7 linked regions of the Macaca fascicularis genome follow. The protein of the gene in region 7 interacts with the protein of the main gene of each other region in a pairwise test. Links are inferred from orthologs where the notes say so. Each region holds a gene or a part of one and is shown on either strand. Other genes may lie near its edges.

Region 1 (4,286 bases), on a different chromosome or scaffold from region 7:
TCCAGCCTGGGTGACAGACTGAGACTCTCAAAAAAAAAAAAAAAAAAAAAAAAGGGGGTTGGAGGCAGGGACTGCTCTGGATTAAACGGCCAAGAAAGGCCATACTGAGATGTAAACTGAGCCCTGAAGGAAGAGTATTCCAGGCAAAGTGCAAAACCCTGAGGCAAAACCTCTTTGGAATGTATGAGGTAGGTCCAGGGAAGAAAGGAGGAGAGGAAAGAATCCAAGTCCCGAGGTACAAGACAGGCAAGAAGTAGGTCTTGCAGAGCTGCTGGTAAGCAGCACCCGACCTAGCATTTTGAGGGCCAGAGGTAGTTGCAGAGCCCCTCTCATGTGAGGGAATGATGCCTATACACTTTTTTTTTTTTTTTTTTTTTTTTTTTGAGACAGAGTCTCCCTTTGTTGTCCAAGCTGGAGTGCAGTGGTGGAATCTTGCCTCACTGCAAACTCCGCCTCCTGTGCTCAAGCGATTCTCCTGCCTCAGTCTCCCGAGTAGCTGGGACAACTGGTGTGTGCTACCACACCTGTCTAATTTTTGTACTTTTTTTTTTTTTTTGAGACGGAGTCTCGCTCTGTGGCCCAGGCTGGAGTGCAGTGGCCTGATCTCAGCTCACTGCAAGCTCCGCCTCCCGGGTTTACGCCATTCTCCTGCCTCAGCCTCCCAAGTAGCTGGGACTACAGGCGCCCGCCACCTCGCCCGGCTAGTTTTTTGTATTTTTTAGTAAAGACGGGGTTTCACCGTGTTAGCCAGGATGGTCTCGATCTCCTGACCTCGTGATCCGCCCGTCTCGGCCTCCCAAAGTGCTGGGATTACAGGCTTGAGCCATCGCGCCCGGCCTAATTTTTGTACTTTTAATAGAGACAGGGTTTCACCATGTTGCCCAGGCTGGTCTCAAACTCCTGACCTTAAGTGATCTGCCCGCCTCGGCCTCCCAAAGTGTTGAGATTACAGGCGTGAGCCACCGCGCCCGGCGTGATACACACTTTTAAGGCTCCGGGGCTGTCCGTGAGGATCAAGCGTGGAAGTAAGTCTACAGAAAAGGCTGCCGCAGTTAACCCACGACAGGTGATGACAGTCTGGACATAGGGAGGATGGAGAGAAGTCGTGCGCCCTGGCAGTATTTCAGGAGCCAACTAATGGAGCCGGGACGCGAGAAACAGAGGAATCAGGAAGCCATAAGGAGGAGGTGGAGCAGCGGGTGGGTCAAGATGCCGCAGCAGCAGCAGGAGGAGCTCGTGGGGTCGGGGTTACCCCCATCCCCGTGCAAGCCGACTTGGCGTCCGAGGGCAGAGTCCAGACCACAAGGAACTGGAGCTCAGGAGAGACTCGTGGTCCACATCGCGAGAAAGCTGTGGGAATCCAAATACTGTGGCGATTGGCAGCCCCGTAGGCGAGGCGGGCTGGAGACCCGCCCGGATTTAGGCGCGAGCCACCTCCAGGGGCGGAGCCCAAGCCGCACTGCGCAGGCGCGGCTAACCCGTTTCCATGGCTGCGAGAACTCACGCTCCCCAACCGTCCCACAACTGTCCTGTCCCAGACTTTGGCACCGTCGGGGTCCGTCGTCCCCGAGTGTGTCAGCATCCCCACCCCGGCTGCTGCCCAGGATCCGCCGGACCCCGGCCTCGATATGGGAGACCTGGAACTGCTGCTGCCCGGGGAAGCTGAAGTGCTGGTGCGGGGTCTGCGCAGCTTCCCGCTACGCGAGATGGGCTCCGAAGGGTGAGGCACCCGGGTCAGGCGGAGTCACGGAGTCATTGTCCCTGAGTGGGGGAGCTGGAGCCTGACATGGGGGGAGGGGCTGCCCAGTGTGGAGGGGCTCCCAAATGGGGGAGCAGAGTGTTCCGAGACAGGAATATAATTGTTCCTGAGCCCCCTGTGTCCCCTCAGGATCAGGTTAGGCTTCAATAGGATCCAGCCCCCATCCCCACTCCAAATGCACACACGTGGACCCACATGCACTTACACAACCCTCTGAGGCAGGTGGAACCAGCAGCACGAGAACCTGGAGAAGCTGAACATGCAAGCCATCCTCGATGCCACAATCAGCCAGGGCGAGCCCATTCAGGAGCTGCTGGTCACCCATGGGAAGGTACCCCGAGGTCACAGGCAGGGTTCCTGCCTTCCCCCATACCTCACCTACTCTAACCCTCAGGAGTCCCCTGTGTGCTTTTCCCCTCTGGCCTGGTACACCTGTCCTCCCTGAAGGGGAGAGAGGAATGTGTTACATGTTTCATTTTGTGTCGCTGTTGGACAGGACTCTGGCACACCAGGCTAGGTACAGGGCATGAGTTGATTAGGGAGAAAGCTGTAGGTCCTAAAACAGCTTAGGCTTCGAGGGGAAGGCCCAAATGCTAAAGGCATCTGTGAATTGACTGTAAGGCTGGGGAGGGGGTGGGGAGGGCAGGAGGGAGGGGAGATAACTTAACTGGAAGTAGAACTTTGGCATGGAAGGAGGCAGCCTTCCTAACATGAGAGGGGAAAGTTAGAAACCAATGAGATGGCTGGCTGGAACATGGACCAGGGAGTGTCACCAGCAGATGACCTGAGATATCAATTGACCAAAAAAAAAAAAAAAAAAAAAAAAGCCAGGCATGGTGGCTCATGCCTGTAATCCTAGCACTTTGAGAGGCCAAGACGGGTGGATCACCTGGGGTCAGGAGTGCAAGGCCAGCCTGACCAACATGGTGAAACCCTGCCTCTACTAAAAATACAAAAATTTGCTGAGCATGGTGGTGCACACCTGTAATCCCAGCTACTCGGGAGGCTGAGGCAGGAGAATCGCTTGAACCTAGGAGACAGAGGTTACAGAGAGCCGAGATCGTGCCACTGCACTCCAGCCTTGGTGACAAGAGTGAAACTCTGTCTAAAAAAAAAAAAAGAGTTCCTTTGCAAGAGAAAGGTGGAACTCATACAAGGGGATAGGATAAGAAGAACAGGGCACTGTGAAGGGTCCTGAGTAAGAGTGAGGCCAAAGGCACACAAGAGCCTTAGAGAACCACAGGACAGGGACAAGAGGGAGGGCATGAGCAGAAGGGCTGACTTGAAAGGGACGCCTGAATGGGCGGGGAGAGGATAACGGGGCAGGTGCAGGCAGGGCAAGGCAGTCTGGGAACTGGGCAGGAGCCAGTCACATAAGCATGAGGGACATCCACAGAGGTGTTGGGAGCAGCTGGAAACGAAGGTCCGAAATGCAAGAGAAAAGTCAGGAAGGATAGCCATGGGGTTTGGGATAGTTTAGGGGCCCAGCAGTGTTTGGGGAGATCTGGGCTGAGCTGAGCCAAGCTGGGGATGGGAGGGTTGCCAGGCAAAGGTAGGCCCATCTCATCCCTGTCCTTTACCCCATCCTTCAAAGGTCCCAACACTGGTGGAGGAGTTGATCGCAGTGGAGATGTGGAAGCAGAAGGTGTTCCCCGTGCTCTGCAGGGTGGAGGACTTCAAGCCCCAGAACACCTTTCCCATCTACATGGTGGTGAGCTGGGCCCCTGGTTCATACCTCCTCCCACTCCTTCAGAGGGCTCTGGACTGGGGAGGGGAGCTGGTAGCCCCTATCCCTACCACAGGCCCTGTCCCTCTCTTTGTCTGTCAGGTGCACCACGAGGCCTCCATCATCAACCTCTTGGAGACAGTGTTCTTCCACAAGGTGAGGGACTATCTCTGCCCATGGGCCACAGTTTCAGGTCAGGGCCTGGCAGGAAGGGAGGTTGTATCTGTGTGGGGAGGGCATCAGACACAGAAAGTTTCCCTCCCCCTTTCCCCAGGAGGTGTGTGAGTCAGCAGAAGACACTGTCTTGGACTTGGTAGACTATTGCCACCGCAAACTGATTCTGCTGGTGGCCCGGAGTGGCTGTGGTGGCCCCCCTGAAGGGGAGGGGTCCCAGGACAGCAACCCCATGCAGGTGGGTTGAGGTTACCTAGGATTGTGAAAGCCTAGGTCTGGGTTCCCCAAGGCCTGCACAGGCAAGGGTAGCCCAGCATGAACACTGTGTGACCTCGCAGGAGCTGCAGAAGCAGGCAGAGCTGATGGAATTTGAGATTGCACTGAAGGCCCTCTCAGTACTGCGCTACATCACAGACTGTGTGGACAGGTGGGCAGTCCGACTGGGCCTGGGCCTACCGTGGAGGGCTGGAAGACTGGGCCTGTAGCCTGCCTCTGCTCACCTCCTTCACAACGTCCCTGCCCCTAGCCTCTCTCTCAGCACCTTGAGCCGTATGCTTAGCACACACAACCTGCCCTGCCTCCTGGTGGAACTGCTGGAGCATAGTCCCTGGAACCGGCGGGAAGGAG
Region 2 (4,088 bases), on a different chromosome or scaffold from region 7:
TCTTATTTATTTTTTATTTTTAGGCCACACATTTTAAGTGGAAAGGTTGGAAGAACAGAGACTTCTCAATTCTGATTTAAGGGCAAGAAGTTTGAGGGAGGAATGGGCATAGAGAGAGCTGAGCTTCCAGTATCAATATGGTGAGGCCAGGTGCTAGTTAAAATGCATTTATTGAGTGTTAGGTATACTTTATGAGGAGTCTGAGAGAACAGTACATAAATAACATAGTGCCAGCCTTTGGAGACATTGTCTACCAATATCACGTGAAGTTTAATCTAGCTTGGAACGTGGCTCCTGAGGCAGCTGTCTCTCTGACACCCAGGACCACAGGAGATTGTTGTTGTTGTTTTTAGAGACAGGGTATCACTGTGTCACCCAGGCCTCAATGCAGTGGCTGGATCATAGGTCACTGCAGCCTTCAACTCCTGAGCTCAAATGATCCTACCACCTTAGCCTCCCGAGTAGCTGGGACTACAAATGCATGTCACCACAGCTAGCTAATTATTTTCTGTGGAGACGAAGTCTCACTTTGTTGCCCAGGCTGGTCTTGAACTCCTGGGCTCAAGTGATCCTCCTGCCTCAGCTCCCAAAGTGCTAGGAGTATAGGTGTGAGCCACCATACCTGGCCTTTTCTTTATTTTCTTCATTTATTTTTAAGTATCAGGGATTTGTAGGCTAGGGAAATTGACTTGCCAAATGTCCTCTAGCTGGTAGCCAAACTAGAAAGAGAGTCTCTGTCTCCTGACACCCAGTCTAGTGCTCCTTCTTCTTCATCGTGCTGCTGCTTCTAATGTAATCCTACTCTGGAGCAAAATGGCAGAATGATATCCCAGTACATCTGGGAAGACACATGAAACAACAAGAATAAGAATGTTTACAGACAATACGACAGCATGGCCAGCTCCCATAGCATGTCCTCTGTAAAGGCTTTCTTCCATCAGAATGAACCCACACTGCCACAGTCCTGGGTCTCTACTTCTAGTTTGCACTTCTTCATCTTGCCTCATACTATGCTTTACCATCAGTTGATGGTCAATCTATCTCCCCTCTTAGGATTTTAGATTCCTTATTAATTACAAATTTAAGTCAGGATTTGTCTTATTCATTATTGTTATCCTCATCCCTAGCACCTAGCACACTGCTTTATTATCTAAGCACTGCAGGAACTAATAATTGCTTGCATAAAAATGAGTAGGTTCTGGAAACTAGGGCCGAAATAGGGTAAGGAGTTTATTCCAGTGAAGAAGGGTCACTAGCAAGCCAGCCTGAGAAAACAGCGAGGATGGATCCCTACCTGCCTCTCCGCCCTGGCTCCTGCCTGTCACTGGAAACATCCTGTTTCCACATGGTCACTTGAGGTCTCTGGGTGTCTAGTCGCCTCTCTGAGACATCTTGATGGCCTGGGGGTTGGACCAGGGGAATGTCTGAGAGCCAGGTGGGAGCCATTCTCGGCAGAGTTGAAAGGGGCCGAGCTTGAAAATGGGAGGGAGGAATCAGCCCAGTGGAACCTGAAGAATTACAAAATCAAAGATGGTCAGTTTCCCAGGCAGAGACAACCACCACTCCCCTTGTCTGGTCCCACTGACCTGAAGGTGGAAACATCTCCACATTATTTGAAGGCTCTAGATTCTGTCTCCAGCCATCTATGTTCCCCTGGACAATAGGAGAAACAAAGACACTCCAATTCAATTTTCAGGCCACCTTCCAAAGAGAAAGCCCCTACAATAACCAAGTCATAATCCTTGAATTACAGCCAGGTCCACCCGATGCTCAGCTCTTTTCCTACTTCCCCAAAGAAGTAGGAGATACCCCAAATTCACTTGCTTGTCTCAACCTGGTTCCTCAGGGAACCCAGGCAACTATCAAGTGGAGAGAATTTACTGAAAAAGACAGACCGAGAGGGGCTCTGAGGCTTTACTCATACTTTCAGGATTCTGGGCAGTGCCTTTACCCTCCTCCTTAAGTTTCTATGGTCCCTGCTGCCCCTGGCCAGAGGTGAGAAAGGAGGTACACAGTGCAGGGGTCTTGAGCGCCATCTCCAGAGTTCTCTCCATGGCTCAGCAAGGCCTGGGGGAATCCCATCCAGACACCACCAGGCCATGACTCTTGGGTCCTTCCCTATTAAAGTGCTGGCCCAAGGCCTGGCCCCAGCTGAATGTGGCCACATGCAGGGCTAGACCCTTCCCAAGACCTTGGGAATCCAAGCAGCCTAGATCCCCAGGCAGAAAAGCCAGCGTCCTGACATCTCATCCAAATCTTTACTGCGGCTGTCCTCTCAGCTTCTCTCTACTATCCTCTCAGCTTCCATGCCTGCCGCCCGCCTCCTCTTTCTCGAGTCCTAACACATAGTGGGCACTTTAAGACCTTCCCCCCACCCTCCCACCCTCATTAATCTATTTTTTACCCGAATCTGGGATCCCTACTCCGGTCCCTTTTTACATCCTAATCTACTTTTTTCTGAAGGAATTGTTCTGGTCCTCACCCTCACCCCCATCTCTCAATAGTCTGCTCTCGCCCCCTGTACGCTAGCCGGCTCTGCTCTCCCCCCACTGCTCCCCTAGATACCCAAGGCTGTTCACCCAGTTGGCCCCTGAGCTCTTAGGCTGTTCTGATCTCCTCATCTACCCCTTCACCTGGCCCCTGTTCCCCCTTCCCCTTTGGACCCCTTGAACCCTCCCAGCACCCCCGCTCAACCCCTTCCCGCCCACAACCGACTCTTCCCGAACGTCCCTTACCCACCGCGAGAACCCCTACTGCGCCTTGACCACACCCCCTACGCCTCGCTCCGGGCCCCGCCTCTGCCTCGGCCTCTGACCGCGCCTGCGCAAGGCGGGGGCCCTAAGGTCCTATCTCCCTGTAGGGAGGAGGAAAGGTGTACGCAGGCGCAGTGGCGTCTAAATCTGGGCCCACAGAATGTGTCGACGCCTGTCCGCGCCCAGGCGGCTCCTCCCCACTGCGGGAACCCGGGAAAACTTGTGAACTAATCAGAAAAAGCGGAAGGCGGGAGATCTTAGGGAGCCGTCCAATGGCGCGGAAGAGAGCAAATGAGCTGGCCAATCAGAAACGGCACGGGGGCGGGCTCGCTCGGCGCGAAGTTCGGGCCCGGGAATTCCGAAGGAGGGGTAGGCGCTGCCCGCGCGCCGAGGCCGCGCCCCTCCTGGCCCCGGCTTCCTGGCTGTCAAACAGCTGCAGCAGTATCGGCTACAGCAGAGGAGCCCAGGGGGTCCCAGGACCCGCGGCACAGGCTGGCACTGCTTGAAGAGGAGGCTACTCGGAGACTGCACCGCGCTGGTAGATCCGAAACGGGGCTGGGGCCGAGAGGGAAAAGGCCGGGTATGCCTTGCATGATCGCGGGGAGCCCCTTCCTGTTTTTATCCCACCTAGAGAAGCCGGGAAGTAGGGGTTTAGGTCCAATTTGTTGGAGTACTTAAGAACTCGTTTGCACTTCCTTTTGGGGGATGACAGTAGATTCATTGCCCTCGGAGGTTCAAACTAGTTATGAGTGAGGGATTGGCCAGAAGATCGGGGCGCAGGCAAGCGGGAGTGCTCTATTAGGATAAGCAGGTTTGACAGGAAGAAGCTGCTCTTCTCCGAATTACACAGAGGTGATGTGTTCGTACTGCACGTAGACGTGTGTATAACAGGACCTCCCCCCCGCGCCCCGCCACACCGACACACACAGGAGCTGCCTAAAGTATCCTTGCCTTGCAGATTGGAGGCTCCCCAGATATTTTGCGACCTGAGGATCCAGCTCAAGTGAGGTGCCACAGGACGTGGTCCTGAGTTTGCATTGCACGGAGACCTTCCTGGAATTTTTCATTTGCAAGTCGGCTTAACAACCGATTCTGCATTGAGTCCTAGGCTGCTTGCACTCTGAATTTGGACTATTCAGGTAGTGTGCTCAAAGTTGAAACTGCACACAGCACAACTCAAGTTTGCATCAGACTGGTAAGCGAACTTAAGCCAGCGGTGCGTGGCCCAGGAGTGGGAAAGGAAATGGATCCCTAAAGTGGAAGAGGTGGTGCAAAGGGGGCACCGCCCATGCTGCCCTGCTTCCAACTGCTGCGCATCGGGGGCGGCAGGGGCGG
Region 3 (4,050 bases), about 110 Mb from region 7:
TTCAGTCTGTCACCACCCACGCTAGCAAATAGGAAACTGCTGGACCTTTCGACTATATTCACTTTCCATACTAGTTGAGGTGTCTGTAAATACTAGCAGGGTAATATGAAACGATTCTGTTCTATTCAGTAAAGTTTCCTGACGAGAAGCATTAGGGAACCCACTTCATGCCTGTCCTTTCTCCAAGACCCTTTCTACAAGATCTGTATCAATATGGATAATGTCACGAGCGGTAAGCTTAACCCCATAATACACATACTGCAAATGTCATTTTACTAGTCTGTAGCGTCACCTGCATATTATTCTGAAGACGAAGCTCTAAAACCAGAATATCCGTGGGGAAAACCGAATAATAAAATTGGATTTTCATGTACTCCCCACACAGCCTTATCCAAGCCTGGCTTCTGAAGGGCAGTCCCGGGCATCTATCATGTGTTGCTGAAATCCAGCGAGCCACGTTGCCCAAAAGAAGAAGGAGGAAGGAAAAAACACACACACCCAGAAAATCCAGACTCTACGTGACGTGACTTACTTATTTCCCAGGAAACTGCATGAGAGAAAAATCAATCATTCATGCTACGGTAGCTACCACACGGAAGGGGCTGATGGAGTTCACAGTGGACAAAACCCCAAAGCGGCCGGCGGAGGTAAGTGGGCGGGGAGGGGGGGCGGGTAAAGGAGGGAGCGGATTGCGAGGGCCTCGGGGGCCGCGCGGTCCGGGTCCTGGCGGAGCGGCTGGCGGGGGCGGGCCCCGGCCTGGCCCGAGGCAGGAAAGCGAGGGGCGGGCGGGACGGTGGCGGCCGCGCACTTACCGGGGCTGTTGGCCTCGCGTTCGAGGACGTGCAGCTCGGCGCAGTCGGCCAGCGAGTGCTCCAGGCAGAGCTGGAGGAAGCGGGCCTGGGTCTGGCTCACGCGCTTGAGCAGCGACAGCAGCGCAACAGTCTGCTCGCACTCGTTCCAGCCCTTAAACCAGCCCGCCAGCACCCCGACCTGGTCGCGAAACATCATGGTTAGGGGGCCGCCCTCGGTCTACAGAGCCCCCTGGGCGCCCCAGACCGCCCCGCCCGCCCCAAAGTTTGGCGGAGCCGCAGCCCCGCAGCCGGAGACGCGTTCCCGTTCCAAGGTGGCTCTGGTGCCCGGACGCTGCAGGTACTGCCTGGGCTCCCGCCTCTCTCGTCTGGTTTCAGTTACGTTCCGGTGGTTCTGGCTGATTTCCCCAGAGACGATGACAGACAGTAGCACGGAAATGTTTCTTTAAAAAAAATAACGACTTTTTAAAAATCCCCCACAAGGCACACAACTGAATGAAGAATGCTTTCTCCCCCCTTCTTGCAGCTTCGGGATGGTGATTTCCGGCGTCCTGGGGTCTCCTCCCCACTGGGCGGCAGCTCGGACCCTTCACGCCCGCATTCCCGAGCGGCGATCACCACTGGAAGGAGAAAAAGAGCTGCAGTGAGACCTCGGCCAGCGGAGGAGCGCGCCCTGGGGGACCAGGGCATCAGAGGGGGTCGGGGGTGGGGGCGTCCCGCGGAAGGTTGGGTTCCCCGAAATCTGGCCGCCCCCTCCGCACCCGATGCGGGAGATGGGTTATTCCCGGCTGGGGAATAGCGAAAAGCCTGCTTCCCAGGTGCGGGAGGAGACCCCGCGGCTTCCTGTTGCTGCCGCTGCCAACGGCTGGTGCTCCCCTCACGCCCCGCCCGGGGTGGCCTCGGGCGCCGTGCCTGCGAACGCCAGCACCAGCAACAGATCTTCCCCGCGCAGAAAACTTGCAATGCGGCTGCGAAGGGGCGCGGGGGTGGGGGTGGGAGCTAATGCAAAGCAGAGGCGGAGGCAGCGGCAGCCCGAGTTCCTTCCTCCTCCTCTTACTCCTCCTCCTCCTCCCAGAGAAGCAGCCGAGTGGCTGCAGCTCCATCTACAGCAACAGCCAGCATCTCCACCGCCAGGCGCCCCTCTGGATTTAGGCCGTGAGCAGCCGCGGCAGCAGCTCGAGACAAAAATAAACTCTCCCCACCCAAAGCTCCGCGCCCAGCGGGCGGCGGCGCAACCCAGAGCCCCGGCTCCCCCGCACCGCGCCGCGCCAGCCCACCCGGGAGGTCTCTCAGGGCCTGCTCTGGCCGGAGTGGTCAGTGTGCGCGCGCGTGTGCGTGTGTGTGCGCGCGTGTGTGGCAGGCATCCTGCCGCCGCCGCCTACGGGCGGGTCTGTCCGGCCCGGCGCCTCGCCCGCGCGTCGCAGGCCGAGGGTGGCACAGCCCCGGGCACACGCCGCGCGCAGGGACTGCCGGGGTCCGCAGCGCTACCCCCTGCGGCAGGCGGGGCGGCCTCGCGGGGAATGCGAATCGACGCCGCAGGCACACGCCCCCCAAAGACAGCAAAGAAGAAAGTTCGGCTGCGGGGGTTCCCCCAGTCCCATCTCGGTTCTGGTGGCCGCCGCCGGCGGGGAGAAGAGCACAGCGGCTCAGCCTTCAAGGGGCGACTCGCTTCCAACAACACGCTGCTTCCGACTCCCAGAACTTCTCGGGCGGAGGGGGAAGCCCCCGGGGAGGGGACCCCAGTGACCGGCGGGTCCCCCGCCGAGGGCCGTAGGGAGGGAGCGCTCACCTCTGCGCGGCTCATCCCGGCGGCACGGGGGCCCTTGCGCGGGTCCGGGACCGCGGCGGCTCTCAGCGGGGCTGGGGGCGCCCGGAGCGCGGGCCGCCGGCCATGCCGTCGGGGCGGGCGGCGCGGGGAGAGTGCGGCGCTTCGAGTCGGGGCCGCCGCAGCCGCTGCTGCTGCTGCCTCCAGTGTCGGCTCGCGGAGGACTGAGTCGCCCGAGCCGGAGCTCCCCACATGCTACTGATTAACATACACCATTACATCATGGGCTTGGCAGGGAGCGCCCGAGCGGGGGGAGAGGAACCCGGGCGGCGGCGACGGCACGCGGGGGGAGCCGGGGGGAAGAACCCCGGACCCGGCGCAGGGAGGGGGGACGGATTCCTAAGTGGGGACCAGAAAAAGGGGAGGGGAGCGGAGTGGGAGGAGCTGGTGGCGCAGAGGGGTCGGGTAGAAGGAACCTCGGAGAGGAGCGAAGAAGTTCGGGGAAGAGGACGGGTCCGGGTGAATTTCTTCCCGCGGCCGCCTGCGTATTCTGGAGGGGCCGGGACACTCAAGCCACTCGAGCCCCGACAGAAAGGGACCCGAGGGCGCTCGTGCGGGGGCGGTGCTGCCACCCGCTGCTCGTCCTTGGGAATGTGGTTCGTCAGCTCGGGTGACCCTCGGCCCTTCTGGGGCCCGGGGGTGGCCGAGCTGTGTGGCCCGCGGGCGGTGAGACCCGAGGTCACTGCAGCAGATGCTGGGATGGTTTCCGGGGATCGTGGAGGCGAAGGGTTCAAGAGGCTGAGGGGCAATGCACAGGGTTGGACGTGCCCAGGCGCTGGGCTCCGTGCCGCCCTAGTCCAAGGGCCTGGCCCGGGTCGGGTGCCAGATGCCCTTTCCTCTGGCGCAGGCTCCTAGAGGCCGGCCCGGTGCCTGGCTGAGTCCCACTCTTCCCCGGGGAGGCGGCCCAAATCCTGAGACCGGTCGGGGGAGCCGTGCCTGGCGCGCGGGCTGCGGCTTCGGGCCTGGAGCGTAGGCGAACGCCGCCCTGGGCGACAAAGAGGCGGGGCGAGGCCACCTGTCGGCGCTCAGGCGTCGCCAGACCTCACAAGCTTCACCTGGATCTGGAGAGTACGCACGGCAGCGGCCACACGGGGGCTTCAGGTCCTTGCCGCGTGAGAGGCGAGGAGGGCGCGGCGCCAAGGCTGAGTGGTGCAGGGTGGGCTGCGAAAGTGCCTGATAGTCTTGCAAGTAAAGGTTTGGTTAAAAATACACTAAACCCTAAAAACCTCTGTACCTCCTGATATGGGTTGAATAATCGCAAGGAGGACTTGATGACTAAATCTGGTCTATCTCCGTGATTTCAGAGGAAGCACTGCTCCCTCCAGCAACTTGAGGCTTTGTTTATACAGGAGTAATTCTGAGAAGGCAATGAAACGTGTGCTTCAGACCAGCCTTTCCTACTCCTGCTAATCCACT
Region 4 (4,267 bases), on a different chromosome or scaffold from region 7:
AGCCACCGCGCCCGGCCACTGCACTCCAGCCTGGGCGACAGAGCGAGACTCCGTCTCAAAAAAAAAAAAAAAAAGAAATCAAGATGGAGACCCAAGCCAACCAGTGAAGAAATCAGAGCCTCTTTCCTGCACTCTTCCTGCCTTTTTAATGCCTCTTCCCCAAGCCCTGTGCGCCTGGCTATCAGACCCACTGTGGCAGCTTACCCAGCTTTACTTTTAGATCCCTCATGTGTGGTGGTCTCAGAACAGTATCAGATTCTTAAGACTTGGATTCCTTCTGTTTTTTGTAGGATCCTGTCCTTTCCATACTAGATTATTGTATAAACTGATCCCTCCTAAGGTAATAACAGTTTCTAACACAAATTTGCAGTTGCCGGGCGCGGTGGCTCAAGCCTGTAATCCCAGCACTTTGGGAGGCCGAGACGGGCGGATCACGAGGTCAGGAGATCGAGACCATCCTGGCTAACACCGTGAAACCCCGTCTCTACTAAAAATACAAAAAATTAGCCGGGCGAGGTGGCGGGCGCCTGTAGTCCCAGCTACTCCGGAGGCTGAGGCAGGAGAATGGCGTAAACCCGGGAGGCGGAGCTTGCAGTGAGCTGAGATCCGGCCACTGCACTCCAGCCCGGGCTACAGAGCAATACTCCGTCTCAAAAAAAAAAAAAAAAAAAAAAAAAAATTTGTAGTTTAACAGGGCACTTTGGAAGCATATCTGCAACTTAGAAGTGACTGACTCCTTTCCCACAGCAAGCCAAAGTAGTTTAATCTTTGGGAAGGCACACAAATGACACTCCCACTGGCATCTCGTTTATATAGATTACTCTTTTATATAGATTGCTCTTTAGAGGAGACACACATTCTTTCATTTGGTTCTCATAGAGCTGAGATGGGAAAAAGAGACAATTATTATAGTTATTTTACAGATGAGGAAACCGAGATTTAAAGAAAGTGTGTCCTAACACCACCTAGGGAGTGGCAGGGAATGGATCCTAATATGTAACTCTTAAATAGTTTTTCTCCATCACGCTGCCTTGTTGCCTACTGAAAACTGTGTTGAGGGGTAGGTTATAATGAACAAAATCAGTCCTAGCACTCTGATCCTGGTTCACATTCAGGGTCTCAGTCTACCTTACTCTGGATAACTTCAAGTTGTTTACTGGAGAAAGACTGGTCACAAAAGGTGTTGCTAAAGATGCTCTCATTAACAATTTTATGGTAGATTAAAGAGATTAGAATTCCAAAATATCCAGGGATTTCAATTAGTCCTCAATCATAAGTTTTGTGTTTGAGAAGCTTTGGACACATGGTATTAAGAAACTTTTTCTGGCCGGGCGCGGTGGCTCAAGCCTGTAATCCCAGCACTTTGGGAGGCCGAGACGGGCGGATCACGAGGTCGGGAGATCGAGACCATCCTGGCTAACACGGTGAAACCCCGTCTCTACTAAAAAATACAAAAAACTAGCCGGGCGAGGTGGCGGGCGCCTGTAGTCCCAGCTACTCGGGAGGCTGAGGCAGGAGAATGGCGTAAACCCGGGAGGCGGAGCTTGCAGTGAGCTGAGATCCGGCCACTGCACTCCAGCCTGGGCGGCAGAGCGAGACTCCGTCTCAAAAAAAAAAAAAAAAAAAGAAACTTTTTCTATCTGCAGATTGCTAGTTTAAATTCAAGATTCCTTTTTTTTTTTTTTTTTTTTTTTTTTTTTTTTTGAGACTGGGTCTGAGATCTCAGCTCACTGCAACCCTCGCCTCCCAAATTCAAGCAATTCTCCTGCCTCAGTCTTGCGAGTAACTGGGATTACAGGCGCGCATCACCATGCCCGGCTAAATTTTGTATTTTTAGTAAAGACGGGGTTTCACCATGTTGGTCAGGCTGGTCTCGAACTCCCGACCTCGTAATCTGCCTGCCTCGGCATCCCAAAGTGCTGGGATTACAGGCACGAGCCACCGCGCCCAGCCAAGATTCCCATCTTTTAAGTGAATAGAGCAGATGGCAGACCCTGCCCTCCACCTGCTAGACTGGTGTCCACAACAGATTTAACACTGAAAACTGATCAGTGAAAAGGCTGTCTCGCTGTACCCTAAGGAGCCGTTTAGGAAACACTGAAACCTCAGTGATTTGCTTATCTGTATCCGTGTCTGATTTAGCCAGTGAACACGTGATGGTTTTAAACACGCCTCTCTCCAGCATTATGTTGAGATCCACTTATAACCAAGATCTTAAGGTAATAACGAAACACACCTGACAGAACAGTTTTCCTCAAATTATAAAATCTATCTATCTATCCATCCATTCCCGAGATGCTAGAGAGTAAAGAGTAAAATTCTATACTTTGCACTCGCCAGAAACAGAGTAACATAAATGTTGTCTAGGAAACTTTTACAACTGACTCTCTGGTGAAAATTAAAACACTTTTCAACGCCTCGATTTAGAGTATTTTTCGTGAGCGTAGAGAAGGGGCTGGGCCAGGACCACCAAGTAGGGAGTATGTGCACAGGGTCCCGCGTTTACCAGCCTGCCCTCAGCTGGGCGGGGACCCGGACAGCCCTCAGCCAGCACCCAGCCCGTGCGAGGTCCCAACCCACGTCCCGCCCCAGTATTACCGACGCCTCAGCGGACTGCGCCACTTTCTCCTCCTCTTCGTCCTCCAAGATCGCCTCTGCTGCCGCCAGGGCCTGTAAGGGGTCTTCGCGTTCGTACTGGGCGACCCGCGCTCTAGTGATGGGATTTACAGGAGTCTGGAGACTGGAGGCCACCAGCTTTGCCGCTCGGTGGGAGGCGGCCATCGCCCCGCCTCCGGGACCTGAGCGCCTGCGCTGGCCCGGGGCGGGAAAGCTGGTGCGGTCCCTGGCGACCCGGGGGCTCCTAGCTAGGGAGCCGGTTGCTATGGGCGCCGTAACTGGGGACACTACAGGAGCCGCCAGGGACCAAAAGTCACACAAACTCCTCTCAGGCTGCCAGAGACCCGAGTCGGGTGCTTACTGGATCATGGCGGTCAGTACCGAGTCTGTTTGCTGGTTCCAAAGGTTGGCAGGCTGAACAGGGCACTTTTCCTCTCCTTTGCGTTTAACCGCCTGAACGCAGACTTCTCACATTATACAATGAAACAACTGCTTTTGTGAAGAAAAGAGCGCTTTTTTATTAACTGCAATAATATGTTAGAAGGAGACGGTTGATGGAGGAGACGGCGGCGGAGGAGGAAAGCAGGGCGTATTACTGGGTGGCGGCCTCTGAAGAGTGGCAAGGTTGGCGTCGCGCTACCTAACATGTCTCCCGCGGGAGCCAGCGTGGGAAGGAGGGAGGTGCATTCTACTCTGATTTACTTGAGGGCTAGTAGGAATCCACCAATCAGAAGGAGGCTCCCGGTTGTCCCTCTCGCGTTTTTCTTGGCCTGACCAATAAAAGCCCAGAGTTGGGTGGTGCCTGACCCTCCCACTAATGAGTGAGGGTGCAGGTAGTGTAAACCTGGCGTTTGCTTTGGGTTCATCAGCTTGAGAGTGACAGGATTGAACGGCGCGAGTGCCCAAGAGTCATCACAGACACACCCATCTCCCTCATCCGTATCTTCTCTTTCCACTCGGGATTTGGACGCATCAAATGGCGCCTTCCCTCTGCACCACGTGGTCGTAAGAGAAGCCAAACCTCAAAATAGCGGACGTGGTGCAGTCTCAGGCATCTGCTCCATAAGCCCCTGCTTACTGAGGCCGAGGCTGCCGCTCCCTATCTACTCCCTCCCTATCTACCCCTCTCTATCCTTTGCCCTCCTCCCGCTCCCCAGCCCTAGGACAGGCCCCCTCCGGTCAGTATTTTCCTCGTTATGCGTTGCACATCGTCGAGAATCCATCTCTAAGGTCTGAGCCCTTACCAAACCTTTGTTCTCCTGTATGGGTGTGAGCACCAGCAAAGTCTCCCACGTCCCCACTTCCTTCAGGCTGCTCTTTGTTTTGGCTAAACAGTTCCTTCCAGTGCTGGAACAGATGCTGGCTGGGTTCTAAGCAGAAGCCAGAGCTAGAACCATGGGATATGGACCGCCAGGTATGGCCAAGTGTCCAGGGGAGCAATTTCCAGTCAGTCACGGCAGCCAGTTTTGTGGCTACAAAACTGCCTCAGCCTCCGGAGTGGCTGGGATTACAGGCGCCCTCCCGGGAGGCGGAGATTGCAGGTAGCCCGGATCTTGCCTCTGCATTCCAGCCTGGGCAATAAAGCAAGACTCCGTCTCAAAAACAACAACAAAAAAGTATTGATAAGGAATTAGAGCACATGAATTATAAA
Region 5 (4,057 bases), on a different chromosome or scaffold from region 7:
AAAGGACTGTGAAAGAGGATAATTTGCCCTTAGCTGGTGCAAAACTGCCTGGAATTCAAATGAACTGCTCTTGTTACTCACAGGGGAGGCAGTGGGGGCCACCAGTGGCATAGCAAGGGAATCTCTGTGTTCATGAATTCTGGCTGGCTTTCTGTCCAAATGTTTCATTTGCATATAGCTAGGCAAGTCTCCATCTGTAATTTGGAGATGCTGATTGTAATGACCCAAGTCGGCTTTGAGGAAGTACACAATGAAGCATCTAGTAGGATACTGGACAACAGGAGGAACGTAAAGTAAAAGAGTTATGGTGATGGCCTGAGATGAGATGGAGAAGTAAAGTATAAGATATTGGCTCTGTCTTTCTATAATTAATTGATAATATCACATTATACTTAGTGGGCAATCCAAGACAATGAATGAGGTTGATTCACCCTCAAATTAATATTTTATATTCTCCCAGACCCTTATCTTGAATATTACACCTGAGTATCACTTCAGCCTGGATTTCTGGGATAATCATAACAATTTCTAAGGGGGTGGAGAATGTGCTGCTGCAATTTCTCAACTAGCTTGTCCCTCTTTGATCAGAAACTATCTTCGCTGGGCAAATAGTGAAGTGAAGGAAGGAGCTGGTGAGCCTCCAGCAGTAGATACCTGCTGTGTTAGGAAGTTAGGATGTTTCAGTTTTCTAACCTCAGTGAAAAAGCACAAACTTTGAAAGACGCAAACTTCCTTCAGGGAAATGAAACCTTCAGATTTACCTTCTATTGAAAGGATTAGTGACTAAATTCTGCTGATCAAAAAGGCATGAGGCACCAATTCATCCAATTCACTCCCTTATTGTGTTACTATGATCTTGCCCAGTCTCTGAAACTCAAAGCTCAGTTGTAATTTTAAGTTTATTTTTAAAAAAGTGATCAAACCACCCTTTAAACCCATTGTTGACATAAACATACTTTTAAAAAGAAATGTTATTTTTCTCCTGAGAATTTGTTGAAGGAAGTGGGGGTTTTTGCTACAACAAACCTAGCTCATTACAGAACTGGTGTCTTAACCTTCAAGACGGAATAGTGATGTTTATATTCTCATTGGATGGTGGTACTTCCTGTGTTTTATGAGAACATGCTGAGCTTTTATGCTGCTAACTGAGGGTAAAACCCAGGTAAATAAACACCATAGAAAGCCGAAATTGAAGGGTGTATGTGTGTGTGTGTGCGGTATTTCAAGCAGGAAAGCACAATTCTTTTAAACCAGGAAAAGAAAAAACAAAACAAATGTCTCTTAAAAGCACAAATGGACAAGTCATTAACCAGCTCCTTTGGTCTTGTGTAACAAATCCCTTCAAAGGATTAGAGGGGGACTTCAAAGGAATAAAAATTCTCAAAACCAGACAGCTAATGACTCTTAAAAGGGCATTTGCGTTGACAGGAAAATGATATCTTAAACACCCCTTGCTACCCATGTTAACACTAAAGAATTGGTGAGAGATAGAAAAACATTCCAAACCAGTACGAGGCTCAGAAAACAGATGCGGTCAATGCTCATTAGAGCTCTGGTTCCCTGACCCCAAACGCTTTTGAGACTATGCTAAAAACTACGAGACTCTACTCCCTAGAAGAATTCACCTGTACACAAAATGGTGCATTAACTTTCGAGGTTCACAGGCCCCCATCGGTGGACCCCGAGGAGGGCTACACGTACTCAGATTTACTCCGGATTTCGCTGCTCTAGAAATCCCCGGAGGCCCAGAGCCAGCTCCGAGGTGGACCGTCGGACCCCTCACCCGCCCGTTACCCGCGCGGCTGGCAGCGGCTCCACCTGCGGACCGGGGAGGCGGCCGCTGGGGACCCTGGAGGCCTCCACTTGGAATGTTCCCCTTTCCAAGACCAAATGGACAAAGAGAAAGGGCCGAGAAGGAGAGGTGAGAAGGGAGCCGAGTCAAGCATGGAACGCTCTCCGGACTGCACCTGCACGCCGCCAGGCTCCCCTTGTGCCTGCTCCCGTGCAAACTTTCTGGCCCGCGGTGGCTTTAGGCAGCGTCCTGATAGCCTGGAGTGGCCCGCAGAGGCGCCGAGCCGACCCCTCTCCCTGCCGCCCACCGCCCAGTCCCTCTCCCAGCGCCCCCGAAGTCACCCGGGAGGAAGAGGGAGCCCAGCGCTCCGCACAGGGGGCCAAGAGCACGCCGCAGGCGCGCACCTGGAGTCCCCTCGAGGGCCGCCCGGGTCCCCCAGCCGCTCCGGGACGCGAGGCCGTGGACACCGGGGGTGGCAGGGGCAGGGGCGCCGCACTTACTCTGAAGGGTCCAGGCTCTTCCTTTCGATGGCCGAGGACATTGGGGAGGGAGGCGGCGTGCCGGGCGGCAGGGGCGCTCCCTTTGTGGCGCGGGGCTGGCCGGCTGCCGGGGCTCGGACCCCCTCGGGTGCTCGGGCGCCGCCGCCGCCGCTCCTGCGCCTCCGCTTGCTCCGGCGCTCCGGCGGCGAGCTCGCCCCTCCGCGCTCAAGGACAGTCACCGCGCTCCCTTCAAATGCCAAAGAGAGAGAGCGAATCACCGGGCTGCGGGCGCGCCGCGGCCGAGGCGGGGGCCGGGGCGCGCAGCCTGGCCCTGGGCGGCTGCAGCTGCTGCTGCTGCTCAGGACTTAACCTTCCATCCCGGTCCCGCCGCCTCCGCCGCCCGGTCCCTCTCGCGCGCTGTCGCCGGCTCCGCGCCGCCCGCGGGGATGGTGCACGCCCGCCCGGCCGCCCCGAGCCCCTCGCACCTTCGGCCCGGGTAGCGGGCGCTGCTCGCCGCGGAGGGCAGAACGGGGGCGGCGGCCTGGGGGCGGGGAGGGGACTGTGCGTCTCTCCCCGGGCTTCCTCCTCTCTCGGGAAGGTCTATTTTCGCTCAGCTTCCCTCTGTCTCTGGTTTCATTTCCTTTTTCCTGATCACGATTCAAATACAATAGAAGGAAATCACATTTAAAGAGACAGCTGCCCGGTTCCCCCACCTCCCCTTTTTTCTTCTTCTTCTTCTTTTTTTTTTTTTTTTTTTTTTAACGGGGCTCCTGGGGATTAGCAATACAAACAGCAGCATCAGGACTGACTTGGCTTCTTAAAGGGGCCAGTGTCGGGGACGGGGAGATCCGCTCAGCTAACACCTCTCCTTGGAGAGGAGGCTGGGCAGCCACTAAATAATTCTTCAGGGCTTCCCCCCTTCAGCCTTTCCCTTTTGGTTTAACTAAGGCAGAAAGTAACCCACGAACAGCTCGAGCAAGCAAGAAAAAACAAGAATGTGAAATAAGCACCTACAGAAATGCAAGTGTTCCGAGTGGATTTTGAGCCCGTCCCAGGTTCGAGATCCCAGGTCCACGGACGCCGAGCACCGGGATGCCCCGGACAGCGCGGCTCTGCGGGCTACCGGCTGCGGGCTCCAGGCTGCGGCCGCGCTCTGCAGAGGCGATGGGGGTGCGCGAGCCGGGACTGCACGGGCTGGGGACGCCTGAGCAGAGTCAGGGCAGCTAATCCCAGAGGGAGGGTGGCTGGGAGGGACTTCGTGGGGCCAGGGCTCCTCTCAGTAGGCTGGTGTCGGAATCCCCTCCCTCAGCACCTTTCAGAGAGCGGACTCCTGCGGTTAAACTGCCCCCCATGTAAAGTGCCAGTAGTACCCCGACCAGAGAAAGTGTTTTTTCCAGTGATCCAGAACAGTATTAGGGAGATTATTTTGCCCTGGGTCAGGCACAGAGAAAGAAGGCGGACTTGATTTGGGGTTTCAGGCTTCCCCTCTCAGCCTCCTTCTAGAAAGAGGTAGGAACACAGAGGGTAAGAGAGGGGAGGCCAATAGTCTGCCCTTCCATGGAGAAAACGTTTGTCTCTCCTGGGCCTCAGAGGTCCTTGAAAATATCTGCGTTCAGAAACTGAAAGGCCTATTTGTGCGTGATGCCAGTCACTAAGGCTTGCAAAGAGGGAACGTACTTTCAGGATCCATAGTTTTATATGATCAGTCTGGATCATAGGCATACATTTTTGTTCCCATTTTCAAGATGGCACATGGGCCTGGATGAGCTCACCCTGAAAGATGGTA
Region 6 (3,500 bases), on a different chromosome or scaffold from region 7:
AGGCTTTGGTTTTTAATTTAGCTGGTGTGCTGCTTCTAACTCTGCTCATTAGATACAAAAATTGTAAGTTGGGCTATTTTTCCAAAGTCTAAATTTGCCTCATTTCAGACTCAGTGTGGACATATGGAACTTTTCTATCTTATATTATATTGATATTGATTTTAGACTGGTTTCTTACTGCATTATTCTTCTGACCTCTGTTCTTTGGATATATAAGATAACCACTCAGTTTTCTCTTTATTGCAGAGTGTGTGTCATAGCCTATTTAATCATTATTGCATTTTAAAGACACATAAACTTAGATGCGATTTCAGAAAAATTCATTATCACATAAAAATATTTCATTTTAACTTTCCTATATGTCTGTTTATTGAATTTTGGGATAGTAAAGTTTGGTTGTTTTCATGCCCTTACATGGTAATTCCTTTTTATTAAATCTTTATTTGATACTTCTATAATGCTCCACTGCCTTTGTATTCACAAAAAACTGCTAGAAAAGCTGTTTTAAGTTAACATTTGATTTAATGCGTTGGGATAATTGAATGTGCTTATAGATTCCTGTCATTCTAAAGCAAATAGTGTATTGAATCTTCTCATCATTCCTTATTTTGTATTGTTCTAAGGTACATTTTATATTGGAGGAAAAGGTTCACTGAACAGCCTATCACAGATTTTTGTAGTGTGATAAGAATTAATTCCACAGCTCCATTTGGTAAGTGTACATCCTGGCTACCATCTTTTCCCTACAGTATAAAAATTCAAAGGAATAATCTTACTGTCTTATATTAGAATTGCTTTTACTTTCATGATAGAGAAAATTAAATTGATGTGTTTATTTTGCCTAACTCGAATAAAACTAAAACAGTTCTTTGCCAAAGAGATCCTAATAGACACACACATCTGTAATTTTTACGAAATAAGTCCTTCTGGGAAAAAAATGGTAAATATCTTTTGTCTGATTTGTTTTCCTGATCTCTCAACAGAAGAACAAGAGAATTATTTTTTGTTATGTGACGTTTTACCAGAAGACAGAATTCTTAGAGAAGAGCTTCAGAAGCAGAGACTGGTAAGAATTGTTTTTAAAGGGTGAATAGTGTCTTGAAAATACATATAAATACATATAAAATCTTTTTTTTTTCTTCTTTTTTTTTTTACTTTTTGTTATGGAAACTTTCACACAGGTAAAAGAGGAGACAATACAAAAAGGTCTTAAAACAGAAAAAAGTATACACTTGACTGAAAATTAAAGCATTTTATGTTGAAAATGCAGAGAGAATTTTTGGCTTTGTTTTGCTTCCTGGATTATCTCTAAAATAACAACAGAACTTACACATTTTAGTGTAATTTTAGCTGCCTGACACATGCTAGGGTTCAGTAGTCGTGGAAAAATGCCCTCAGCTAAAATTGAGTTGAATTGATTAACCTTTTTTTCTCCCCTTCACTGGAATGTGCTATGCACTAGCGTTTTTTTAATTTCCCTTTATGAATTAAGCATATGGTTTAATCTACATAGTAGCCTTTCTGGTTTTCAGCCTTAACCATAAGCAAGCTAATTTGAAAACCTCAGCATATTTAACCTTTAAAAAAGATGATAGCACATACAAGCATGAAAATTTTTATTTTATTTTATCTTATTTATTTTATTTATTTATTTATTTATTTTTTGAGATGGAGCCTCACTATGTTGCCCAGGCTGAAGTGCAATGGCGCGATCTCGGCTCACTGCAAGCTCCGCTTCGTGGGCTCATGCCATTCTTCTGCCTCAGCCTCCCGAGTAACTGGGACTACAGGCATCCGCCACCACGCCCGGCTAATTTTTTGTATTTTCAGTAGAAACGGGGTTTCACCATGTTAGCAAGGATGGTCTCGATCTCCTGACCTTGTCATCCGCCCGCCTCGGCCTCCCAAAGTGCTAGGATTACAGGCGTGAGCCACCATGCCCAACCGAAAATTTTTATTTCCATTAGTTCATCAGAAAATAATGTTTTTAATTGTTAATTTTGTTTAAAAGCACATGGGTTCTCATCATTTGTAATTTAATCTCGACTATTACTTGAGGTTGACTTGCTGTTCCTTTAGTGATTTCTCATAAATCTTTCTTGTATCTTTGGGCTTGGCTAAATATGTTATAAGAGAGAGATGATTTAAATATTTGTGCTATATCCTCAAGAGATCTAGGAGAAAAATAAATACTATTTACCATAGTCATATAATTTAAGAAAGTCCCTGGAAGCATGTTTTATTTTGTAGACATCCCAAATGATTTTTTATTCCAGTATGGGAAGGTGATACCGATGGATACTGATTTATATGTAAGAAAAGTTATGCTTTTCCTGTACAGCAACAGCAGTAAAGAAACAGGACTTCCTGAGTTTCTCTTCTCTCCTTACAGCAGTGTCTTATGAAATATGTAAAACAAGGGTAAATGTACTATCATGTCTTATGAATGTTATTTGTGTGCACTTATTCGTAATTTTCAATTTACATGAATTTTCTCACTGTTGCTAACCGTGGCCTTAAGAATGATCAAAAGCCATCAAGGATTGATTTATAAGAACTCAAACCCTACTACTTCAGCCATTCTTGTTCTTTAGTATGCAGAATCTTTACCATATGTCTGTAGATGGACTTAGGTCTCTAAAAATACCTACATATACTGCATTTAAGTTACCTTTTTTACTTTACAGTTTGATAAAGCAATACATTTAATAAAAGTGAGCATTATGCCAGCTTACAGAAACAAAATAAGAATAAAAAGGCAATTAATCCATACATGTTCATTGAATTTCTGCTTAAGTTAGATGCCTGTACAAAGAAGTACAAGAGTACAAGGCATACACAAGAGTGTATAGTCTGGAGAAGAAAGATAAATATGTATTCTTACCTTGGTAGTAGAGATAATGATAAAATATCTTGCTGGGCTTATGAAGATTAAGTGACATGTAATACACTTAGAACACTGCCTGGCACACGGAAGGCACTTAACAAATATTAGCCAATAAAAATAATAGTAATAATGCTGTGTCTTAACAATGAGAAGGATTTGGATAGTTAAGAGAGTTGTAGAGAAGGGAAGAAAGATACATATGCATCTAAATGTTCAAGGTGTATTCAGAAAAATCGAGTAAAAGTCTACTCTGGCTTAGGTGGAACATTTTTTATGGGGAGTAGTATAAGATAAATTTGAAGAGGTAAAATGGAGCTAAATTGTGGAAATCCTTCAGTGCCAGAAACTTGACTTTGTAGTAATAAAGACCCATTAATGTACCCTCATTGCCCATCAGTGGCATGAAGAAAAGAGTAAATGTAACTGTGTATAAATCCATTTCAAGCTGTCAAACCCTGAGAAAGATCAGACCAACTTGGGGATTGGAAGTAAGCTAACAATGACTGATGATCAGCCACAAGCCATGCCTTGTATTTGGTTCTTGCTTCATAGCACCCTGTGAGGTGGCTATTAAATGCCATTCTATTTATGAGTAAAATGTGGCAGCTTAAGG
Region 7 (2,506 bases):
GTGCACACCTGTAGTCCCAGCTACTTGGGAGGCTGAGATGGGAGGATTGTCTAAGCCCAGGAGGTTGAGGCTGCAGTGAGCCATCATTACGCCACTGCACTCTGTAGTTTAGGCTACAGAACGAGACCCTGTCTCAAAAAAAGAAGAAAATTAGATCTCTGTCTCAGAGATCTAACAGGTAGAAAAGCATCTTTCTATCTATAGACTTAAAGGGAGGCAGATAATTAAAAGATGCCCAGATAAGCCTTCCTGACACCAAGTCCAGGCTTGTGAAGAGGGGATGTATAAAGCAATCATTGGAGATTCCTCAGTTTGGGGACTTATCACAGCCTGAGAGCCAGTCGGTTGCCAGGAGGAGGCTGCAAGGAGCCAAGATAAGGCTGGAGACAAGGTAAGCTCTATGGATTTGTAGAATCTAAGACCTACCCCTACAGTCTTCTTTATAACATCTTACCCTATCTAGCAGCAAAGACATGAGTACAGAAAAAGGCACTTTGAGAGCATTTTCCAACAAAAACACTTTATTCGTTTTCTTTCTCTATAGCTGCTTCCAAAGGTGACTCCCCCTGCAGCCTAGCCAGTCTGACCTCTCTCTCCATGCTTGCCACTTTTGCAGAACAACAAAACAACATTGGGATGAGATTCAACATTGGGATCTCCACTGGTGGGCAGCAGGGCTGGAATCTACTCTGGGGCACCCACCTTTAGGGACTGGCAAGTGGGGTCAGATGGTCCTGCTGCTCCCTACTGGCTACGACGTCGTTTCTTCCTTCTGCCTGTGGCAAAACTGTCACACCGCCTTTTACGAGGCTGTGAGGATCGAACTACTCCCAGAGCTAGGGGTTTCTCCCTGGGGACCCCAAGTTGAGCTCCTGAGTGGGATCTCTTTTCAGTAGGGGCTGGACCTCCAGCTAGAGCTCGCTTCCCAGACTTGGCAACGGGGCATGGAGGTTTGCTGGGGCCTTTTGCCCCGGGAGGGAGCAGGTGGGATGCTCTCTGGCTGCCCTGACCTGAGGCATGGTGAGGACTGAGAGGATGCCCCCTTGGTGAGAGGCTAAGTTTAGAGGCCAAGAGGTAAGCAAAGTTGGAGAGTTCCTCATCCTCTTCCTCTGCTTCCTTCTTCTTTTTCTCCTTTCCTTTGGCCCTATCTGCTGACCTGCGTGTTTTAGTAACAGAAGTCTCTCTCAGAACTATGGCGTCCCTGGTTCCCCATCTAGGGAAAGTGCTTCCAAGGCCTTGGTGAGATGAGGTTTTGGGGGTCCCAGTTGTGTAAGACTCCTGACTCTCTTGTAAAGGAGCAAGGTTTTTAGGCTTGGACAGGTCAGGATCCACCCTGCCTCCTCCTTGGGGGTCACAAGAATTAACATTCAATGGGCAGGTGTCCTTGCTGACCCTTAGTTGGAGGCCACAGTCATCTTTAACACCTAGTATGTTGACCGGTTCTATGGTTTCCAGCAGAGGGGAAAAGGAATTGCCTCTGCTCCCTGCCTCTTGGCTGGCTTCAGGCAAGGAGGAGGCATCCTCGGTCCCCATGATAAGGACACTGTCTTGGCATGTGGGCAGAAGGGTTTCTTTGGAAGACCCCAGTGTGGAACCGCCAATTCTGCTTTCCAGCAATGGGAAGCAGCCTCCTGCCCGCAGATCACTGGGGTCCCCTGTGGTTTCACGGCTCTGCTCTTGATTTTCTTTGGACCTCAAGGCTGGGCTGTTGGCCCTCAAAGGTCCTGGCAAGCTGCAATCGTTTCTCTTTTCTAGGGCAGCTGCCGCAACTGTGCCTCCACAAGGAATCACACTGCTCTCCATACCCCCAGGTACTATGGTTTCTCCAGGACCCAGGGAAATGCTGCTGCTGGAGCCCAGTGCCTGGCAGCCTTCCTGACACTCAGTTACACACGCCTCCGCTTGGAAGCTCTCTATGACCTCCTCTGTGTGTACGGGCAGCTCCAAGTCTACAGCAGCCATCTCACCGCTCAGCCAAAGTCCTGGGCTGAGAGAGACGTCGTCCCTGTCCCCAGCTGCTCTAGGGGAAGGATTCTGATCATAACTCTGAGCCATGGGGGTACCTCTGTCATCTCCCCACATGGCTCCTGCAGAGCCTTCCTGGGACACTGCTAAAGGCTCCTTCCCTTGAGGAAGCTCTGCACGGCCCCCCGTTTGTTGTCCTTTCTGCGATCCCAGGACCTGCTTTTCTAACCCTCGTCCCTGCAGAGGAGCCAGCTCTGCAAGTCCAGCATCCAAACTGGGAGTGCTGTCAGGCTGGAAGCCTTCCTGCCAACAAAGGGGCAGAGCCTCTGAAGTCCTATCAGCCACCAGGCAGCGCCCAGGCAGCCCTGCACCTCCTAGATGGCCATCTCGAAGTCGCGATACCTGGTTTATAACCTTCCCAGACCCTCTCCTCTCCATACCCAAGGGTCCCGGAGTTCCCTGGAGAGCTGCAGGCTCTGGCTGCAGGTCCCAGCTGCTGGGGGATGGCAGAGTGTTCCCATCCCTGTGCATCCCTCTGGGG

What was found.
Region 1: the proteins of NUTM1 (region 7) and ZMYND10 interact in binary tests that used the Homo sapiens proteins (3 or more experiments, as listed by UniProt). The two-hybrid records come from large-scale screens. The link is inferred for Macaca fascicularis from reciprocal best matches to the Homo sapiens genes NUTM1 and ZMYND10.
Region 2: the proteins of NUTM1 (region 7) and CCHCR1 interact in binary tests that used the Homo sapiens proteins (3 or more experiments, as listed by UniProt). The link is inferred for Macaca fascicularis from reciprocal best matches to the Homo sapiens genes NUTM1 and CCHCR1.
Region 3: the proteins of NUTM1 (region 7) and SAMD4A interact in binary tests that used the Homo sapiens proteins (3 or more experiments, as listed by UniProt). The two-hybrid records come from large-scale screens. The link is inferred for Macaca fascicularis from reciprocal best matches to the Homo sapiens genes NUTM1 and SAMD4A.
Region 4: the proteins of NUTM1 (region 7) and FAM161A interact in binary tests that used the Homo sapiens proteins (3 or more experiments, as listed by UniProt). The two-hybrid records come from large-scale screens. The link is inferred for Macaca fascicularis from reciprocal best matches to the Homo sapiens genes NUTM1 and FAM161A.
Region 5: the proteins of NUTM1 (region 7) and LMO2 interact in binary tests that used the Homo sapiens proteins (3 or more experiments, as listed by UniProt). The two-hybrid records come from large-scale screens. The link is inferred for Macaca fascicularis from reciprocal best matches to the Homo sapiens genes NUTM1 and LMO2.
Region 6: the proteins of NUTM1 (region 7) and ZNF277 interact in a two-hybrid assay, tested with the Homo sapiens proteins (2 studies listed by BioGRID). The two-hybrid records come from large-scale screens. The link is inferred for Macaca fascicularis from reciprocal best matches to the Homo sapiens genes NUTM1 and ZNF277.

Annotation. Positions count from the first base shown.
Region 1 is NC_088376.1:113,378,520-113,382,805, reverse strand, and holds the start of ZMYND10 (zinc finger MYND domain-containing protein 10), read left to right. Parts: upstream 1-1,486; 5' UTR 1,487-1,628; coding exon 1,629-1,720; intron 1,721-1,981; coding exon 1,982-2,090; intron 2,091-3,353; coding exon 3,354-3,470; intron 3,471-3,587; coding exon 3,588-3,641; intron 3,642-3,759; coding exon 3,760-3,897; intron 3,898-3,997; coding exon 3,998-4,086; intron 4,087-4,185; coding exon 4,186-4,286. UniProt on the Homo sapiens protein: Plays a role in axonemal structure organization and motility. Involved in axonemal pre-assembly of inner and outer dynein arms (IDA and ODA, respectively) for proper axoneme building for cilia motility.
Region 2 is NC_088378.1:141,510,780-141,514,867, reverse strand, and holds the start of CCHCR1 (coiled-coil alpha-helical rod protein 1), read right to left. Parts: upstream 2,801-4,088; 5' UTR 2,168-2,800; coding exon 1,925-2,167; intron 1,720-1,924; exon of another isoform or gene 1,654-1,719; coding exon 1,587-1,653; intron 1,509-1,586; coding exon 1,295-1,508; intron 1-1,294. Other genes in the region: TCF19 (transcription factor 19), read left to right, coding at 4,042-4,088. UniProt on the Homo sapiens protein: May be a regulator of keratinocyte proliferation or differentiation.
Region 3 is NC_088381.1:122,421,576-122,425,625, reverse strand, and holds the start of SAMD4A (protein Smaug homolog 1), read right to left. Parts: upstream 2,801-4,050; 5' UTR 2,599-2,800; exon of another isoform or gene 1,571-2,598; intron 1,430-1,570; 5' UTR 1,009-1,429; coding exon 813-1,008; intron 637-812; exon of another isoform or gene 533-636; intron 420-532; exon of another isoform or gene 386-419; intron 233-385; exon of another isoform or gene 61-232; intron 1-60. UniProt on the Homo sapiens protein: Acts as a translational repressor of SRE-containing messengers.
Region 4 is NC_088387.1:60,064,820-60,069,086, reverse strand, and holds the start of FAM161A (protein FAM161A), read right to left. Parts: upstream 2,801-4,267; 5' UTR 2,782-2,800; coding exon 2,599-2,781; exon of another isoform or gene 1-2,598. UniProt on the Homo sapiens protein: Involved in ciliogenesis.
Region 5 is NC_088388.1:31,709,523-31,713,579, reverse strand, and holds the start of LMO2 (rhombotin-2), read right to left. Parts: upstream 2,801-4,057; 5' UTR 2,649-2,800; coding exon 2,642-2,648; intron 2,519-2,641; coding exon 2,293-2,518; intron 1-2,292. UniProt on the Homo sapiens protein: Acts with TAL1/SCL to regulate red blood cell development. Also acts with LDB1 to maintain erythroid precursors in an immature state.
Region 6 is NC_088377.1:153,813,481-153,816,980, forward strand, and holds part of ZNF277 (zinc finger protein 277), read left to right. Parts: intron 1-623; coding exon 624-712; intron 713-983; coding exon 984-1,066; intron 1,067-3,500. UniProt on the Homo sapiens protein: Probable transcription factor. Involved in modulation of cellular senescence; represses transcription of the tumor suppressor gene INK4A/ARF, perhaps acting via the Polycomb group (PcG) complex PRC1.
Region 7 is NC_088381.1:10,645,633-10,648,138, reverse strand, and holds the end of NUTM1 (NUT family member 1), read right to left. Parts: coding exon 745-2,506; 3' UTR 501-744; downstream 1-500. UniProt on the Homo sapiens protein: Plays a role in the regulation of proliferation. Regulates TERT expression by modulating SP1 binding to TERT promoter binding sites.